2 linked regions of the Stegostoma tigrinum genome follow. The protein of the gene in region 2 purifies or fractionates together with the protein of the main gene of each other region. This does not show direct contact. Links are inferred from orthologs where the notes say so. Each region holds a gene or a part of one and is shown on either strand. Other genes may lie near its edges.

What was found. Proteins that work in one complex are often made in the same cells at the same time.
Region 1: the proteins of DNA-directed RNA polymerases I, II, and III subunit RPABC1 (region 2) and polr3e purify together in Homo sapiens (affinity purification with mass spectrometry; 5 studies listed by BioGRID and IntAct, counting the BioPlex papers as one, with this or other methods). This does not show direct contact. The link is inferred for Stegostoma tigrinum from reciprocal best matches to the Homo sapiens genes POLR2E and POLR3E.

The regions. Positions count from the first base shown.
Region 1 is NC_081376.1:34,157,544-34,168,474, reverse strand, and holds the start of polr3e (DNA-directed RNA polymerase III subunit RPC5), read right to left. Parts: upstream 4,028-10,931; 5' UTR 3,917-4,027; intron 3,777-3,916; 5' UTR 3,679-3,776; exon of another isoform or gene 3,674-3,678; intron 771-3,673; 5' UTR 623-770; intron 1-622. UniProt on the Homo sapiens protein: DNA-dependent RNA polymerase catalyzes the transcription of DNA into RNA using the four ribonucleoside triphosphates as substrates.
Region 2 is NC_081383.1:17,538,472-17,548,466, forward strand, and holds the start of DNA-directed RNA polymerases I, II, and III subunit RPABC1, read left to right. Parts: upstream 1-6,081; 5' UTR 6,082-6,144; coding exon 6,145-6,201; intron 6,202-9,995. UniProt on the Homo sapiens protein: DNA-dependent RNA polymerase catalyzes the transcription of DNA into RNA using the four ribonucleoside triphosphates as substrates.

The DNA of each region.
Region 1 (10,931 bases), on a different chromosome or scaffold from region 2:
CCTCCACTGCCGCATATATTCGTGCTGCATGCACAAAGATGATGACTTGAAAGTGAAGGAGTAATAGGACAAGTATTGTTCCAGTCAGATGTGGGACTCTGGTAAGTGTCACAAAGCACACAACTTTATAGGCCTTCAACCAGCAGAGATAATTTGGCTTTGGACCAAGCTTGTTATGTACAATTGAAACAGACATCTCAGCTATGGTTTTCTGAAGAAGGATCTAGGCTTGAAACATCAGCCTTCCTGCTCGTCTGATGCTGCTTGGCCTGCTGTGTTCACCCAGCTCTACACCTTGTTATCTCAGCCACGGTCCTATCTTATTCAAAACAAGAACGGCACAGTCCAACCAAACAGTCATGCACTAGTTTCCACAAAGAAGCAATTTTCAGCAAAGTTGTAGTAGTCATTAACACAACCAAACAGACCAGAGATTTGGTGTTCATTGTAAAGTCCAGATGCAGCCTGATTACCAAACCAGAATCAGCAATTCTCCTTCTGCCCAGCACAATGGCTTCAAGAAATCTCAATTCCCAATCTCTTCAAAAGAGGCTGCAGACACATTCAGGTAAACTAATATATCCTCACAGCAATAGTGCCTGAAAATACAAATTCTGTTTACCTCTTCTGGCAACCTAGGTGGCAAATTCAGTATGTGTTGTTTATCCTAAATTTTCTTCCTTGCAAAAGTACAAGAGGTCCAAAACAGTTCTGTCCAGACATTGCAGAAAAGAAAGCGAAATTTTGTCATTCCCCATTAAAGCTTCAACCTACTGGCAACAAAAAGGCAGTTTTAATTATGAAAGCAAACAGTTTACATTCCAATCAGGCAACGAGGGGATATCAAAACTTAGCAGGTCTATCCTAAATTGCCCTTGAGCCGAATGGTTTGCTAGGCCATTTCAGCAGTCAATTAAGAGTCAACCACGGTGCTGAGGGATGGAGTCACAGTCATAGCATAGCAGAATCCCTATAATGCAGTAGCAGGCCATTCAGCCCAAAAAACCCACACCAAGCCTCCGAACAGCATCCCACCCCTCTACCCTAGTCCCGTAACCCGACATCTCTCATGGTTAATCCACCTAATCTACACATCTATGCACACTAAGGGGAATTTAGCATGCCCATCCACCTAATCTGCACATCTTTGGACTGCAGGAAGAAAGTGGCACATCCCACAGGAAGGTGACAGCTGCAGCCACAGGAAGAATGTGCAAAGGCCAGACAGTTGCCAAAGGCTGGAGCTGAACCTGGGTCACTGGCACAGTAAGGCTGCAGTGCTAACCACCGAGCCACCGTGCCACCCTCAGACCAGACCAGGTAAAAGGTAGATTAAATCCCCGGGACCTGATCAGGTGTACACTAGAACTCTGTGAAGGGCGAGGGAAGTGATTGCTGGGCCCCTTGCTCAGATATGTGTACCATCGATAGCCACAGGGGAGGTGCCGGAAGACTGGCGGTTGGTTAATGTGGTGCCACTATTTAAGAAAGGTGGTAAAGGAAAAAGCAGGGAACTGCAGACTGGTGAGCCTGACATTGGATGTTGGAGGGAATTCCGAGGGACAGGATTTACATGTATTTCGAAAAATAAGGACTGATTAGCGATTGTCAACATGGCTTTGTGAGAGAGAAATTGTGTCTCAATGACTTAATTGAGTTTTTTGAAGTAGTAACGAAGAGGACTGATGACGGCAGTGGTGGATGTGATCCATATGGATTTAGGAAAGGCATTTGACAAGGTTCCTCATGTGATAGCAAGGTTAGATCACATGGAATACAGGGAGAACTAGTCATTTGGATACAGAATTGGCTAGAAAGTAGAAGACAGACGATGAAGGTGGAGGGTTGCTTTTCAGACTGGAGGCCTGTGACCAGTGGTGTGCAAGAAGTATCGCTGCTGGTTCCACTGCTTTTCTTCACAGTGCAGGTTCATAGTCCTTGGAAATAGATTTGAATGTAGATAGGATAGTGAAAGGAGTGTTTGGTAAGCTTGCCCTTATTGGACAGTGCATTGTGTATAGGAGTTGGAGGTCATGTTGTGGCTGTACAGGACATAGGTTCGGCCACTTTTGGAATACTCCATGTGATTCTGGTCTCCCTGCTATGAGAAGGATATTGTGAAGCTTGAAAGAATTCAGATAAGATTTACAAGGATGCTGTCAGTTTGGATGAATTGAGCTATAAAGAGAGGCTGAATGGATTGGGACTATTTTCACTAGATGATGAGAGGCTGGGAGGTGATCTCAGAGGTTTATAAAATCATGAGGGGCACGCATGAGGTAAATAAACAAGGTCTTTTCCCTGGGGTGGTGGAGTCCAAAACTAGAGGGCACAGGTTTAAGGTGAGAGCGGAGAGAATTAAAAAGGGACCCAAGGAGCAGCATTTTCATGCTGAGGGTGGTGTGTGGATGGAATGAACCGCCAGAGAAAGTGGAAAAGGCTGGTACAATTACAACATTTAAAAGGCATCTGGATGGGTATATGAATAGGAAGGGTTTGAGGGGGATATGGGCCAAAAGCTGACAAACAGGGTTAGATTAATTTAAGATATCTTGTCAGCACGGATGAGTTTCCTTGCTAAACATTTCTATGACACTATGAGGTACAAATGGCAGATTTCATTTACCAACCAAAGCAGCGAAGTCAGACACTTGGGGAGCGAATAGGAACATGATCAGTCAAATCAGAAACTGGGTGGAGTATAGAATGATAAATTATGTCTGAATGTGATATGCTAATAAAAGTGATGCAATGTCACATGGTCTTAGTCTCCACTGCAGCCTCAGGACCAAGATGAAGCCATAGCAAGATGATTATTAAATAATGTTGATGTTTTCCTTACCTGAGGCTCTGTAAATATTATTTAGTAGCTCAACAAGACCAAGAGTATTGTAATAGATGCACTTACATAAACTGCTCAAAGAGTTATGGTATGTTTACAATTGATAAACATTATGCAAAAAGTACAATGATTGTAAATTGCAATGAATGACCCATGTGAAAACAGGACAGCAAATGACAATGTAATTGAAGATCGCAGAAAAGGAAAGTTTTCTCATCCTCATTTAGTTAACAACCGATCAGGGAGCTACTGGCACACTGTACATTACTTTAGAGTTTGGGGCTGCAGTCTTGCCTGAGTCAGGAACTCACTCCAGAGGCCTGAGTAAAAAAAAGGTAAATGACAACCCGAGTGCTGCAAATGCCAAAGAACAGTACTGGAGGAACACTGCATTACAGGAGGTTCAATATTGAGGTGGTACTGCACTGTTGGAGGAGACTGAGGGACTACCTTTCAAAAGATCTATTTGAGGAAAAGAATGGAAGGCGTCGTCCCTGGTATCTTGGACAACATTTACCTTTCAATCAAAATCAATAGAACAGAACATCGGGCAATTACCGTATTACGGTTGGCTATGGGATCTTGCTGTGCGCTTGCTAACTAGTGAGTTTCCTACATTACCATGGTGACCACACTTATTTAACTCATCGGCTTTGGAGCACTGTGAGGTTTCTATCCTCATCTCGCTGAGGTTGCGACTTTCCTCACAGGCTGCACAGTCCCACTCTACACCCAGCCCTACCTGATGCAATGAAAGGGGAAGAAGCTACTGCAGCTAAAGCCAGAGGTGCCGGAAGCCGCTCCCTCCCATCCTGACAGGCCAGCAGTTACCTCACCTGATGCAGGTACCCGGGCGGCACTCCTGACCTCGCCGACCACTAACACCACGGGGATGGAGCGGCCTCATTGGGGGATGGAGGTCCCAGGAGCCGGCCTGTACAGGAGACAGGGAGAAACAGAGGCAGGTCAGAAGCCGATTCATCACAGGGGAACCGCCTAAACTTCAGGCCGAGGCCGCTGACTTAATGCCAACTGGGGCCCGGCCAAACCCACAATCCTAACCCGAGTACTCACCACTGTCCCCAGCCGCCCGTTCCCTCAGGCGGTGCCGGCGAAATGGATGAAACTACCAGCAACCATGGAGCCGACACGTGGGTCACTCATATCCTCAGACCGCGTTCCATGGGTACGCTGGGTCCCCCTGACGGCCGGAGGACCGCGTTCCATGGGTACGCTGGGTCCCCCTGACGGCCGGAGGACCGCGTTCCATGGGTACGCTGGGTCCCCCTGACGGCCGGAGGACCGCGTTCCATGGGTACGCTGGGTCCCCCTGACGGCCGGAGGACCGCGTTCCATGGGTTCGCTGGGTCCCCCTGACGGCCGGAGGACCGCGTTCCATTGGTACGCTGGGTCCCCCTGACGGCCGGAGGATCGCGTTCCATGGGTACGCTGGGTCCCCCTGACGGCCGGAGGACCGCGTTCCATTGGTACGCTGGGTCCCCCTGACGGCCGGAGGACCGCGTAACATCGGTACACTGTGTCTCCCTGACGGCCGGAGGACTGCATTACATGGGTACACTGGGTCCACCTGATCCGCGTTTCATGATAATAAAATGTGAGGCTGGATGAACACAGCAGGCCAAGCAGCATCTCAGGAGCACAAAAGCTGACGTTTCGGGCCTAGACCCTTCATCAGAGAGGGGAGTGGGGAGAGGGAACTGGAATAAATAGGGAGAGAGGGGGAGGCGGACCGAAGATGGAGAGTAAAGAAGATAGGTGGAGAGGAGAGTACAGGTGGGGAGGTAGGGAGGGGATAGGTCAGTCCAGGGAAGACGGACAGGTCAAGGAGGTGGGATGAGGTTAGTAGGTAGCTGGAGGTGCGGCTTGGGGTGGGAGGAAGGGATGGGTGAGAGGAAGAACCGGTTAGGGAGGCAGAGACAGGTTGGACTGGTTTTGGGATGCAGTGGGTGGGGGGGAAGAGCTGGGCTGGTTGTGTGGTGCAGTGGGGGGAGGGGATGCACTGGGCTGGTTTAGGGATGCAGTAGGGGAAGGGGAGATTTTGAAGCTGGTGAAGTCCACATTGATACCATATGGCTGCAGGGTTCCCAGGCGGAATATGAGTTGCTGTTCCTGCAACCTTCGGGTGGCATTATTGTGGCAGAGCAGGAGGCCCATGATGGACATGTCATCAAGAGAATGGGAGGGGGAGTGGAAATGGTTGGCGACTGGGAGGTGCAGTTGTTTGTTGCGAACTGAGCGGAGGTGTTCTGCAAAGCGGTCCCCAAGCCTCCGCTTGGTTTCCCCAATGTAGAGGAAGCCGCACCGGGTACAGTGGATGCAGTATACCACATTGGCAGATGTGCAGGTGAACCTCTGCTTAATGTGGAATGTCATCTTGGGGCCTGGGATGGGGGTGAGGGAGGAGGTGTGGGGACAAGTGTAGCATTTCCTGCGGTTGCAGGGGAAGGTGCCGGGTGTGGTGGGGTTGGAGGGCAGTGTGGAGCGAACAAGGGAGTCACGGAGAGAGTGGTCTCTCCGGAAAGCAGACAGGGGAGGGGATGGAAAAATGTCTTGGGTGGTGGGGTCGGATTGTAAATGGCGGAAGTGTCGGAGGATAATGCGTTGTATCCGGAGGTTGGTAGGGTGGTGTGTGAGAACGAGGGGGATCCTCTTGGGGCGGTTGTGGCGGGGGCGGGGTGTGAGGGATGTGTCGCGGGAAATGCGGGAGACGCGGTCAAGGGCGTTCTCAATCACCGTGGGGGGAAAGTTGCGGTCCTTAAAGAACTTGGACATCTGGGATGTGCGGGAGTGGAATGTCTTATCGTGGGAGCAGATGCGGCGGAGGCGGAGGAATTGGGAATAGGGGATGGAATTTTTGCAGGAGGGTGGGTGGGAGGAGGTGTATTCTAGGTAGCTGTGGGAGTCGGTGGGCTTGAAATGGACATCAGTTACAAGCTGGTTGCCTGAGATGGAGACTGAGAGGTCCAGGAAGGTGAGGGATGTGCTGGAGATGGCCCAGGTGAACTGAAGGTTGGGGTGGAAGGTGTTGGTGAAGTGGATGAACTGTTCGAGCTCCTCTGGGGAGCAAGAGGCAGCGCCGATACAGTCATCAATGTACCGGAGGAAGAGGTGGGGTTTGGGGCCTGTGTAGGTGCGGAAGAGGGACTGTTCCACGTAACCTACAAAGAGGCAGGCATAGCTGGGGCCCATGCGGGTGCCCATGGCCACCCCCTTAGTCTGTAGGAAGTGGGAGGAGTCAAAAGAGAAGTTGTTGAGTGTGAGGACGAGTTCAGTTAGGCGGATGAGAGTGCCGGTGGAGGGGGCCTGGTCGGGCCTGCGGGACAGGAAGAAGCGGAGGGCCTTGAGGCCGCGTTTCATGAGTATGCTAGGTCCCCTGGCGGCCGGAGGTCAGTTCACTCAGGAGCACCAACCCATACGACAGCCGGAGGACCTCGTTACAATGGTATCAGTCTCTGCCTCCCTAACCTGTTCTTCCTCTCATCCATCCCTTCCTCCCACCCCAAGCCGCACCCCCATCTACCTACTAACCTCATCCCACCTCCTTGACCTGTCCGTCTTCCCTGGACTGACTTATCCCCTCCCTACCTCCCCACCTACACTCTCTCCACCTATCTTCTTTTCTCTCCATCTTCGGTCCACCTCCCCCTCTCTCCCTATTTATTCCAGTTCCCTCTCCCCATCCCCCTCTCTGATGAAGGGTCTAGGCCCGAAATGTCAGCTTTTGTGCTCCTGAGATGCTGCTTGGCCTGCTGTGTTCATACAGCTACACACTTTGTGATCTTGGTTGGGGGTGTGTTGAGTTCATGTGTACGTGTAATATGGTCCTCCGGCCGTAAGGGGCTCCAGTGCCTACCTAATACTGTCTCCGGGCGGCCAAAGGGGATCGCGGAGCAGACGTAAAGCAGTCATCTGGGCGCCAGGAGGACCCAGTGCACCATTGTAAAGAAATGTGAGGCTGGACGAACACAGCAGGCCCAGCAGCATCTCAGGAGCACAAAAGCTGACGTTTCGGGCCTAGACCCTTCATCAGAGAGGGGGATGGGGGGAGGGAACTGGAATAAATAGGGAGAGAGGGGGAGGCGGACCGAAGATGGAGAGTAAAGAAGATAGGTGGAGAGAGTATAGGTGGGGAGGTAGGGAGGGGATAGGTCAGTCCAGGGAAGACGGACTGGTCAAGGAGGTGGGAGGAGGTTAGTAGGTAGAAGATGGGGGTGCAGCTTGGGGTGGGAGGAAGGGATGGGTGAGAGGAAGAACCGGTTAGGGAGGCAGAGACAGGTTGGACTGGTTTTGGGATGCAGTGGGGGAAGGGGAAGAGCTGGGCTGGTTTTGGGATGCGGTGGGGGGAGGGGACGAACTGGGCTGGTTTAGGGATGCAGTGGGGGAAGGGGAGATTTTGAAGCTTGTGAAGTCCACATTGATACCATTAGGCTGCAGGGTTCCCAGGCGGAATATGAGTTGCTGTTCCTGCAACCTTCGGGTGGCATCATTGTGGCAGTGCAGGAGGCCCATGATGGACATGTCATCTAGAGAATGGGAGGGGGAGTGGAAATGGTTTGCGACTGGGAGGTGCAGTTGTTTATTGCGAACCGAGCGGAGGCGTTCTGCCTCTGCTTGGTTTCCCCAATATAGAGGAAGCTGCACGGGGTACCGTGGATACAGTATACCACATTGGCAGATGTGCAGGTGAACATCCGCTTGAGGTGGAAAGTCATCTTGGGGCCTGGGATGGGGGTGAGGGAGGAGATGTGGGGGCAAGTGTAGCATTTCCTGTGGTTGCAGGGTAAGGTGCCGGGTGTGGTGGGGTTGGAGGGGAGTGTGGAGCGGACAAGGGAGTCACGGAGCGAGTACTCTCTCCAGAAAGCAGACAGGGGTGGGGATGGAAAAATGGCTTGGGTGGTGGGGTCGGATAGTAGATGGCGGAAGTGTCGGAGGATGATGCGTTGTATTTGGAGGTTGGTGGGGTGGTGTGTGAGAATGAGGGGGATCCTCTTGGGGTGGTTGTGGCGGGGGCGGGGTGTGAGGGATGTGTTGCGGGAGACGCGGTCAAATGTGTTCTCGACCACTGCAAGGGGAAAGTTGCGGTCCTTCAAGAACTTGGACATCTGGGATGTGCAGGAGTGGAATGCCTCATCCTGGGAGCAGATGCAGAGGAATTGGGAATAGGGAATGGAATTTTTGCGGGAGGGTGGGCGGGAGGAGGTGTATTCTAGCTAGTCAGTGGGCTTGAAATGGACATCAGTTTCTAGCTGGTTACCTGAGATGGAGACCGGGAGGTCTGGGAAGGTGAGGGATGTGTTGGAGATGGCCCAGGTGAACTTGAGGTTGGGGTGGAAGGTGTTGGTGAAGTGGATGAACTGTTCGAGTTCCTCTGGGGACCAAGAGACGGCGCCGATACAGTCATCAATGTAACGGAGGAAGAGGTGAGATTTGGGGCCTGTGTAGGTGCGGAAGAGGGACTGTTCCACGTAACCTACAAAGAGGCAGGCATAGCTTGGCCACGCGGGTACCCATGGCCACCCCCCTTGTCTGTAGGAAGTGGGAGGAATCGAAAGGGAAGTTCTTGAGGGTGAGGACGTGTTCAGCTAGGCGGATGAGGGTGTCGGTGGAGGGGGACTGGTCGGGCCTGTGGGACAGGAAGAAGCGGAGGGCCTTGAGGCCATCTGCATTAGGAATACAGGTGTATAGGGACTGGACGTCCATGGTGAAAATGAAGTGTTGGGGGCCAGGGAATTGGTAATTCTGGAGGAGGTGGAGGGCGTGGGTGGTGTTACAGACGTAATTCGGGAGATCCTGGATCAAAGGGTAGAAAATGGAGTCCAGATAGGTGGAGATGAGTTCGTTGCGGCAGGAACAGGCTGAGACAATGGGTCGATCAGGGCAGGCAGGTTTGTGGATTTTGGGAAGGAGATAGAAATGGGCCGTGCGGGGTTGGGGAACAATAAGGTTGGAGGCTGTGGATGGGAGGTCCCCTGAGGTGATGAGGTCATGGATGGTGTTGGAGATGATGGTTTGATGCTCGGGGGTGGGGTCATGGTCAAGGGGGCAATATGAAGAGGTGTCGGAGATTTGGCGTTTGGCCTCAGCGATGTAGAGGTCAGTGCGCCATACTACCACTACGCCACCCTTGTCTGTGGGTTTGATGTTGAGGTTGGGGTTGGAGTGGAGGCTGTCCGTTCTGCGGGGGAGAGGTTGGAGTGGGTGAGAGGGGTGGAGAGGCTGAGGTGGTTAATGTCTCGACGGCTGTTGGAGATGAAGAGGTCAAGGGAGGGTAGGAGGCCTGGGGGTGGTGTCCAGGAAGAGGACTTGTGTTGGAGGCGAGTCAAGGGGTCAGTGGAGGGAGGATAAGGCTCCCGGTTAAAGAAGTAAGCATGGAGGTGACGGCGGCAGAAAAACTGCTCGATGTCCAAACGTGACTGATATTTGTTGATGTGTGGGTGGAGGGGGACGAAGGTGAGCCCCTTGCTTAGGACTGACCATTTGTCCTCAGTCAGTGGGAGGTCTGGAGGGATGGTGAAGATTCGGCAGGGCTCAGTGTGGCTGTCTGCTCTGGGGTTGCTGGCGGTGGAGGCTGTGGGCGGAGCGATGAGGTCGTCAGCCGTGGGCGGAGTGCGTGCACCCCCAATCTATCCTGGAGATACAGCACTATATCTACAAGGAGAAGACACAATTCCCCCTCCCCCCCCCAGCTGTTTTGCGTATGTCAATACAGACAACATTGCTGTAATAAAACATCAATGTGTGTATACTGAAGGTCTGAGATAAAAACAGAAATCGCTGGAGAAATTTAGGGGGGCTGGCAGCACCTGTGACAGAGAAACAGAATTAACATTTTGATTCCACTCACTCCTTGTCAGAACAACACAAATCATGAAGAAATTCTAAATCTGGATAAACAGTTGCAGTGGGGTGCGGGAGAGGCATCTGGGAATATGATTGAAGAACTTTTGTTTATCTTATTTCACAGCAAGTGGCTACAGCTAATGAGCTCAGCATTTACTGCCCATCTTCGATTGCATTTACTGTAGGTAGACTAGCAGTGTTGATAGGAAGAGAGTGCCAGGATTTTGACCCAGTTACACTGAGGAGACATAAGTGATAGAGTGGTTTAACACTTCTCTAAGATTATGGCTGAAGTAAGAAAAAGACTTCATTGGAACCCAAAGCCACATATCAAACTCGAAATACAGTTGCTGTGTAACTAAATATATTTAATATTAACATGATGCAGAGGTGCCGATGGTGGATGGGGGCGGTCAGTCAGAAGTCATGTGACACCAAGTTATAATCCAACAGGTTTATTTGAAATCACTAGCTTTCTAAACACTGCCCCTTCGTCAGATTAAGTCACCTGATGAAGGGGCAGTGCTTTGAAAACCTGTGATTTCAAATAAAGCTGTTGTCTATTATCTAGTGTCGTGTGACTTCTGACCTAATCTTAACATGTTAATTCAATATCATACAATAGTAATAATGGCAAAATAACAGATGAAAATGCCTCTTCCAGAGGGTAGTGAATCTATGGAATGCTTTACCACAGAATTGTAGAGTCTGAGTCATCAAGATTACTCAAGGCTGAGAATCAAGGATTATGTAGATAAATGAGGAAACTGGAGTTGAGGTTTGTTAGATCAGCCATTATCCCATTGGACGGAACAGACTTAATTGCCCAAATGGCCCATTTCTGCTTTTACATCTTATGATCTCAGATGCGTTACTGTTATTTTTTGAGGGAGGAGGCATGACATAAATTGTGAAGTTTAGAGATTTTTTAAATATCATTTATTATCAGTTTAGGTTATTAACATCTATGTCTTCTGTGTATCTAAAGTAATTAACTTGCAGGTATTTTTTGTAATTTTTTTTAAAAAGACAGTTTGTGAAAGCTACTTTGGCAGGAATAATTGATTTTAATTTAGATCAGGATGATTTCCAAATTAGCAAGCAAAAGGTCTGTTAGAAATTTCGAGCCTTTTCAAAATAAAATTGAGGGAAACACCCATAATTTATAGTTTAACTTTGTTTTGGGAAGTCCTGTGCAGTCCTTGCATGGATATGGTTTTCCAGAGCT
Region 2 (9,995 bases):
CGGCTGTTTGATAAAAACACAAGTTTCTACCACAGTGCCTGTCGAGTCAGTGAATACTTCTACATTCTTGTTGCTTGTAGTTAGTCCTGCCAGATCTACTGTCATTATAGACAACATTCTAATTAACCTGTTCATTGATATTATTACACACCACTGCAGCAGGTAGGATTTGAATCCAGGCCTCCTATCCCAGAGGTAAGGTCACTATCAATGTGCCACAGAAGTCACTACTACTTTCAAGGGATGCTCTGCTTGACCATCTGGCACCATCTTCATATTCCACTATAGCTTGTCTGTCACCACTCTGTAACATTCATCATTGAAGTATGCCTGAATTGGAACTCTCCTTCTGTCCCTTCCACATTGCTTTCTAGAACAGCTTTTCAGCTCTGATCAGGTGGTAACAATAATAACCTTTTTCCTCTATGTTCTTACAATTTCATCCAAATTTCAAAACCACCTAATTTCTTCCATAGATCTTCATTTATTGTCCAGGTTTCTGAGGCATGCAGGCAAGTTGACAGAAGGGACTTTTTCACTGGAGCTTAGGAAGTTAAGTGGAGGCCTTATAGAAGTTTATAAAATAATGAGGAGTTTGATAGAGTAAATGGTAGTTGTTTCCTTAGAATTGAGGATTTTAAGACAGCACATTTTTAAGGTGAGAGGAGAGAGATTTAAAAAAAGACACAAGGGGCAAATTGTTAACACAGAGAATGGTTTGTGTGTGGAATGAACTTCCTGAGGAAGTGGTGGATGTGGATGCAATTACAACATTTAAAAGACAATTGGATAAGTACATGAATAGTAATGGTTTGGAGGGATATGGGCCAGGAACAGGCAGTTGGGACTAGATTAAGTTTGGGATTATGTTTGGACTGGTTGGACCAAGGGTCTGTTTCCATGCTGTATGAGATTTTTCCTCTGTTAACAAGAAAATTCAATTGTACTACATCCTTCATCTTCACAAAATTACTCCCATCTCTATCCTTTGTCTAACTTCTGTATCACATTTGTCATGTCCTGTTATCATCTGTCTAAAATAAACAAATGTATCCTCTTGTTCCATTGTGACATCATTCACTTCAAACTACACTTCAGTTTTTTTCTAATCTTTCTAACAACTACAGTTTTATTCTTATTTTATTAATTTATACTCAAATCTCTATTCTAAACTAGATTTTGCATTATCCATGGTAGGGTCTCTTCTGATTCTGCCAGTAATACTGTGTGGTTACAGTAGCATAATTCTGTTGTGCTCTTGCCTCCAAAGTTTGAGTCCATTCTCTTACTATCAATTCGATTTCCAAATCTGTACAACTCTGTGTACAATTTGAATAATCTTTGCTCTACTTCAACTAAATACATTTGAACACACCTCTTACTGGTGGACACGGTATGCTAAAGAAATCCTTATATTTGAACACTAATTGGAACCATTTTTGAAAAAGGGTCCTTCAATTGACTTTAAAACACTTAAGGACAAATTCAAGTCAACTAACACCTGTGCTAGGTTGAAATCTAAAGTGTCTACAAAATCGGCCCAATGTTGATGGTGATGTCACCAGATGAATCATCCAGAAGTCTGTATGAATGCTCCAGGGATTTCAGTTCAAATCTCACCAAGGTAGCTAATGGAATTAAATTTAATTAATAAAATCTGGAATGGAAAGCTAATTAAAGTAATGATAACCATTAAATTATTTTTCTAAAAACACATCTGGTTAACTAATAACAAGGTGTGGAGCTGGATGAACATAGCAGGCCAAGCAGCATCAGAGGAGCAGGGAAGCTGACATTTCAGGTCTAGTCCCTTTTTCAGAAATGGGGGAGGGGAAGGAGATTCTGAGATAAATAGGAAGAGAGGGGGTGACGGATAGAAGGTGGATAAAGGAGAAGATAGGTGCAGAGGAGACAGACAGGTCAGAGAGGCGGAGGCGGAAGCAGTGGGGAGTTAGGGGTGGGATAGGTCAAGGGGGTGGGATGAGACTGGTAGGTAGGAGATAGGGGTAGGGCTTGAGGTGGGAGGAGGGGATAGGTGGGAGGAAGCACAGGTTAGGGATGCGGGGACAAGCTGGGCTGGTTTTAGGATGCGGTCCAGGGAGGGGAGATTTTGAAGCTTGTGAAGTCCACATTGATACTATTGGGCTGCAGGGTTCCCAAGCAGAATATGAGTTGCTGTACCTGCAAACCTTTGGGTGGCATCATTGTGACAATGCAGGAGGCCCATGCTGGACATGTCGTCCGAGGAGTGGGAAGGCGAGTTGAAATGGTTCGTGACTGGGCAATGCAGTTGTTTGTTGCGAACCGAGCGTAAGTGTTCCGTAAAGTGGTCCTGAAGCCTCTGCTTCCTTTCCCTGATGTAGAGGAGGCCACATCGGGAACAGCGGATACAGTATACCGCACTAGCAGATGTGCAGGTGAACATCTGTTTGATGTGGAAGGTCTTCTTGGGGCCTGGGATGGGGGAGGTGTAGACATAGGTGTAGCACTTCCTATGGTTGCAGGGAAAACCGCCGGGGGTGGTTGGGCTGGAGGGGAGTGTGAAGCAGACGAGGGAGTCACAGAAAGAGTGGTCCCTCTGGAAGGCAGATAAGGGTAGGGAGGGAAAAATGTCTTTGGTAGTGGGGTCAGATTGCAGACGGCGGAAGTGTCGGAGGATGATGCGTTGGATCCGGAATTTGGTGGGGTGGTACGTGATGACGAGGGCGATCCTGTTTTGGTTGTTATTGTGGGGAGGGGGCTGTGAGGGATGAGTTGCAGGAAATGCGGGAGATGTGGTCGAGGGCGTTTTTGACCACTGTGGGGGTGGGGGGGGGAACGTTGCGGTCCTTGAAAAATGAATGTCTCATCCCAGGAGCAGATGTGGTGGAGGCGAAGGAATTGGGAAACGGGGATGGCATTTTTGCAGGAAGGTGCATGGGAGGAGGTGCTCCCACGAGGAGCTCGGACAGTACATCCACTTCACTACGACTTTCCACCCCAACCTTAAATTCACTTGAACCATCTCTGACACCTCTCTCTCCATCCTGGACCTTACTGTTTCCACCACCTGGAAACCAATATCCATTTCAAGCCTACTGACTCCCACAGCTACCTAGAATACACCTCCTCTCACCCACCTTCCTGCAAAAAAGGACCACCTCCCTGAACTGACCTATCTGCTCCCTGCGCCAACTCCGCACTTGCAGTCCCTTCACTGGCTCCACCCCCACCTCTTTGACCTGTCTGTCTTCTCTCCACCTATCTTCTCCTTTATCCATCTTCCATCCGCCTCCCCCCTCTCCCTATTTATTTCAGAATCCCCTTCCCCTCCCCCATTTCTGAAGAAGAATCTAGATCCAAAACGTCAGTTTTCCTGCTCCTCTGATGCTGCTTGGCATGTTGTGTTCATCCAGCTCTACTCGTTATCTCAGATTTTCCAGCATCTGCAGTTCCTACTATCTCTGGTTAACTAATGTTCTTTAGTGAACAAAATCTGCCATCCTTATGTGGTCTGCCCTATATGCAACTCTAGAAAACTTAAGAAAACACGCAAATATGTTGGTGGCAACTCAGAGAAGGGTTATGGATTGATACCTGAAATGACTGGGTTATCTTCGGTGGAAATGTCGTGCAATACTCGGCTTGTTTTGAAGAGTGAAGAATGATTGATTAATCATTGATGTATATGTAATTGATGTACAATATTCAAAACAGTCCTGACAAAATGAATGTAGAAAAGATACTTCGTCTTGTGGATGAACCCAGAACTAGGGACACTGTTATAAATTAGGAGCCATCCTTTTAAAACAGAGATGAGGTAAATTATTTTCTTTGAGAGATGTGTGACTTTGGAACTTGGCCTCAAAGGCTGTGGAGGCAGATCATTGAATATTTTTAAGCAGAGATGAACAAGATCCAGAATGTTATCATAATAGATCGGAATGTGGAATTTGACATGCATACAGATCATCTGATCTTACTAAATGTCAGCTGGCTCGAGGGTACAAACGGCTTCCTTCTGCTCTTAATTCATATACAATATATACATGTATGTTTATACACTTGTTATTGCGTCCAGGACAAAACACAACACGTCTTATGAAAAGTTGCTGAAACCTGCTTATTTAAGCTAAACAATGTGATCACATACTTAGGTACAAGAAATGTGAATGTTCCTGTCAGTATGCACATCATCAACACCTTTTATTCTTCCATCCTTTGAAGATCCTAAATAAAGTTGGTAAAGAGTTATATATGCATCATCATACTGATTAGTTCAGTGTGTTCTAAAGTTTGGAGATTTTCTCTGCAAGAAGATGAAATGAGTGGCTACTCTGTATGTTCTTTTGGTCTCGGCAGCAGTAAAGGAGATAAGTGAATGCCCTAAAACGATAATGTGTCTATGAATACTATGGTAATAACTACATTTACACATCTCTACTTTCTGTATTTCTTCTTTATTCCTTGTTGTCCCATTATCAAGTCATTAGTGGTTTATGTCACAAATTGATAGAATATTTAACATACTAGAATTAAGCTAAATATGCTATTCATTCACGTAAACATTTGCAGTATTGTAATCTTCACATATCACATAGGAATGCCTCCCATATCTGATGTCTTTGTTGATTTGTTAATTGAGTTGGCTCTTTGTTTCACACAGGACAGCCTGGCATAAAATCCATGTCCACTTGTTCAGCCCTTTTAGTGAACCTGCCTTTCTGTCAGTATCCTCAATTTGTTGCTGAAATCAAAAGCTGGATTTGAGTTGTTTCATCAGGTAAATGTTTGTTTATCATTTGCTTATCATTGAGGGCACATTCCCATTAGTTAATAAAGTGTGAAGCTGGATGAACACAGCAGGCCAAGCAGCATCTCAGGAGCACAAAAGCTGACATTTCGGGCCTAGACCCTTCATCAGAGAGGGGGATGGGGTGAGGGTTCTGGAATAAACAGGGAGAGAGGGGAAGGCGGAGCGAAGATGGAGAGAAAAGAAGATAGGTGGAGAGAAGAGTATAGGTGGGGAGGGGATATGTCAGTCCAGGGAAGACGGACAGGTCAAGGAGGTGGGATGAGGTTAGTAGGTAGGAAATGGAGGTGCACCTTGGGGTGGGTGGAAGGAAGAACAGGTTAGGGAGGCAGAGACAGGCTGGGCTGGTCTCTGCCTCCCTAAACTGTTTTTCCTCTCACCCATCCCTTCCTTTATCTTTAAAGTTGAGCACACAATAGCATAAAGGAGGTGCAAATAAAACGTGATGTCTGAAATCATTGAGTGAAGAACCATGAATCAAAAACCACTACATATTGTACTGAAAAACAAACCACATGGAGTGGGATTACCAGATTCTTCATGTGAGAGTTTACAGGACTTTATTTTTCCAAGGGTAGGAAACAGATTTCAGGGCAGTTTCGATATTATCTCTGGTATCGCTCTATGGGATTTTCACATGGGAGCTCTTGTAGTATAGACAGCAGAAAGCTTCTCCCATCTTCAGATGAGCAGTGAATTTAGGAATAAGAGCAAGGGTGTTTCATGGCCCAAAGAGCTCCCTTCAACTTTATAAGTTAACTATAGTGCCAGCAGGTGCTGGAGGAGGCTGCTTAGGCTACCTAGGATTATATGGACTGGTGCAGTAAATTCAATAGCTGAATTCAGAACTTTTGTTGTATTTCCTATTGATGCCAAACAGGAGACTGATGGATGTTAGATCATCGAGTCATAGAGGTCTATTGAACAGAAAACAGCCTTTTCAGCTCATTGAGGGGTCAAAAATAACCACCTAACTATTCTAACCACATTTTCCAATACTTGGCCGATTGCCTTACAGACCTTGATATCATGTGCACTTTTGAATACTTCTTAAATGTTATGAGGGTTTCTGCCTAACTAGATCAAAACTAGACTAAATATTATGTCCAAGAAATGTCATACACAAAACGCTATAGCAAGGAACTAAAAGGTAACAATACAGAAACAAGGCTAGCAATTCGCTTTAAGGCACCATTTTGACCAAACTTGCCAAAACCCGCGCTGAAGGGCTCCGATAGGGCATGCGCATTGGCGCAGCACGTTCGGCGTCGCCGCCACTGCGCCTGCGCGGGCGGCCGGCTTGCGTGTGTGGAAACTGTCATAAAGCAGCGTCCGGGCCTCGGGCGGTAGCAATGGACGATGAAGAGGAGACCTACCGGCTGTGGAAGATCCGCAAAACTATTATGCAGGTGGGCCTTGAGCAGATTTATCTCATGTCCCCTCCAATCCACCAAGCTCCTATTCTCTCCATCCCCCCTCACACCCGCGCCTCCTTATTTGCTTCCTCCCGTCACCATCCCCTTATCCCCACGCCATCTTCACTCCCTCCCCCAAGTGAGGACAAGAATGTGGTATCAAGAAGCCTTTGCAAAACTGGGCTTTATTCGGAGTGGAGAGAAAGCTGTGATGGCTGAAGTCGTGCCTGGCTTCTAGCAAGATGGTTGTGGTTGTTAGTCATTGTAGCTTCACGACGAGCACTATAGCAGTTCATCAGGTGTGTTTGCGAATTGACCCGTTCAGAAATGTTACGCACACCCAGAGCAAGTAAGGACTTGAACCTGGCTGTCCTAGCTCTGAGGTAGGGGCATTACTACTGCTGCAAATTCCTCTTGTTTGTTCGTCAGGAAAGATATATTTAATCACCTGTCCATTTCCCATCTCTAGAGCTGGTCGAACCCAGGCTTTCTGGCTCAGTAGTAGAAACACAACCACTTTGCACTAAAAGAATCAGCAGTTTATCAGAGGAGTGACCTGTGTTCAGCCATCTTCAGCTGCTTCCATTCATCAATGAACCTGAGAGTGTTGTTCCCAATTTTGACTTGAAACAGGCATAAGCCATGCCCATGAGATAATGGGAACTGCAGATGCTGGAGAATCTGAGATAACAAAGTGAGGAACTGCATGAGCACAGCCGGCCAAGCAGCATCTTAGGAGCGCAAACAAATATCCATTTTAAGCCCACTAACTCCCACAGCTACCTGGAATACACCTCCTCCCACTCACCTTCCTGCATAAATTCCATCCCCTATTCCCAATTCCTTTGCTTCTGTCGCATCTGCTCCCAGGATGAGGCATCCACTCCTGTACATCTCAGATGTCCTCGTTTTTCAAGACCACAAACCCCCATGGCCACAATGGTCGAGAACACCCTCGACCGTGTTTCCTGCATTTCCGGCAACTCATTCCTTGCAACCCGTCCCCACAATAACTGCTAAAAGAGAATTCCCCCCTCATCCTCACATACCACCCCACCAACCTCCGGATCCAACGCATCATCTTCTGACACTTCTGCAATCTGACCCCACCACCAAAGACATTTTTCCATCCCCACCCTTGTCTGCTTTCCAGAAGGACCACTCTCTCCATGACTCCCTTGTCTGCTCCACACTCCCCTCCAATCCCACCACACCCAGCACTTTCCCCTGCAACAGCAGGAAGTGCTACATCTGCCAATGTGGTATACTGCATCTGCTGTACCCATTGTGGCCTCCTACATTGGGGAAACCAAGCGGAGGCTTGGGGACCGCTTTGCAGAACACGTATGCTCGGTTCGCAGTAAACAACTATAGCAGTTCATCAGGTGTGTTTGCGAATTGACCCGTTCAGAAACGTTACACACACCCAGAGCAAGTAAGGACTTGAACCTGGCTGTCCTAGCTCAGAGGTAGGGACATTACTACTGCTGCAAATTCCTCTTGTTTGTTCATTCATCCATTTCAACTCCCCCTCCCATTCCTCAGACGACATGTCCACCCTGGGCCTCCTGCAGTGCCACCTGAAGGTTGCAGGAATAGCAGCTCATATTCTGCTTGGGAACCCTGCAGCCCAATGTTTTCAATGTGGATTTCAAAAGCTTCAAAATCCAGCTTTCCCCCCCCATCCCAAAACCAGCCCAGCTCATCCCCGCCTCTCTAACATGTTCTTCCTCTCACCTATCCCCTCCTCCCACCGCAAGCCGCACCTCCATTTCCTGCCTACTAACCTCATCATCTCCCCCACCCCCCCCAACCTGTCTGTCCTCCCTGGATTGACCTATCCCCTCCCTCCCCACCTACACTCACCTCTACTGGCTCCATCCCTGCCTCTTTAACTTATCTGTCTCCTCTCCACCTATCTTCTCCTCTATCCATCTTGGATCAGCCTCCCCCCTCCCCCTTTTCTGATGAAGGGTCTAGGCCTGAAATGCCAGCTTTTGTGCTTCTAAGATGCTGCTTGGCCTGCTGTGTTCATCCAACTCCGCACTTTGTTATCATAGACTAGGTCCATGTTCTTTGTACCTGTATAAAATATGTAGCTTGAATTGAATTGTCTTTATTGTTGTGTACTTGAATGAGTACAGTGAAAAGTTTATGGTTACTGCATTACAATGCCATTTTAGGTACAAAGGTAATAAAGTATGGGGCTGGATGAACACAGCAGGCCAGGCAGCATCTTAGGAGCACAAAAGCTGATGTTATGGGCCTAGACCCTTCATCAGAAAAGGTACAAAGATACCAGCTACTTTAAAATCAAATCTTAGGAAACAAAAAAAATCATGTTAGGAAAGTAAAGAAATGAATAGTCCAGCATTTTTGGTCATTGGAATAAATTAGGAAAATAAGTAAAAAGCTCACGATCAGTCGTTCTGGCCCAGTCCATGCTGGCACCAAGCCTCCAGGGAGACCTCCACTGCCTTGTTGCCACTTGTGCTAGATTCACCAACATATGAGTTGCTCCACTTCAGGAGCCATTTCTTCCCCGCTGGGCCCTCTTCTCTGATGCTGTTGTGAACCCACACTTTCCCCCACAACCAGGAGACCCTAGCTTTGCTGCCAGGCCACAAGCCCCACTTTAGCTACAGACATTGGCTTTCTGGTGCTGCAGTCCAGTACATGTACATGTGCTGTGCTGAACCTGAATGGTCTTAACTTGGTTGCCAGTCTAGTTTCTCTCTTTTAGGATTATCCACCAAATTTGTCAACTTAAGAATTGCATCTAACATTACCCTATTGAGTTTTGCATGTTGGGTACAGTCAGTACCTTGTTTGTTGCAAATAGCTCAGGTGAAAAGCTATTTGAAATAATCTGTCAATCTTTGGGGTATGCCCTGGAAGCTACACATTAATACACAGGGCTCTGCTGTTTGTACACAGAAGTTATATATGAAATGTTGCTGTTTAAATTGAACACAGTCAGTTACAGCTGTGGGCTAGGTGGCAGCAAAATCAGTCAACTGCCTGCTTCAAAATTTATGTCTGGCTCGGCTGTTAACTGTGAATCAACGTTGAGGGCATCACAAACAGCATCTACATTCGCTTCTGCCCGGACGGCAATACCTTCGATCTGTGCCGCTTTCTCACTCGCACGAAGACAACACAGGAGCCCATCATGGAGCTGTTGTATGCGGACAACTGCGCCCTACTCTTGCACACAGAAGATGCGCTACAGACTGCAGTGACGCGCTTCTCCGAAGCTGCAAAGGCTTTCGGGCTAATGATCAGTCTGAAGAAGACGGAGATCCTGTACCAGAAGCCACCATGCAGCACATACAACCCACCTCGAATCTCGATCGACGGCCACCCCCTCAACATGGTGGAACGTTTCATGTACCTGGGAAGCATAACCTCTGACGATGTGACAGTCACCAGAGATGTCTACAATCGCCGTGCAAAAGCAAGTAGCGCCTTCGGGCGACTGCAGAAGCGTGTATGGGGAAACCACTAGAAAATCATGTCGACGAAAATCCAGGTTTACAAGGCCGCGGTCATCACCACACTGCTCTAGGGCTCCGAGACCTTTTGTATCGGAAACAGATGCGGCTGCTGGAACGATTCCACCAACGTTGCCTGCGCTCTATATTGGGCATCACCTGGCAGGACCGCGTCTCTAACAACAAAGTGCTGGAAAAGGCCTGGCTCCCCAGCATCGAAGCAACCCTTCTCCTGAAGCTACTTCACTGGTTGTGTCACGTATCATGGATGGACAACACCAGAATACCCAAGAC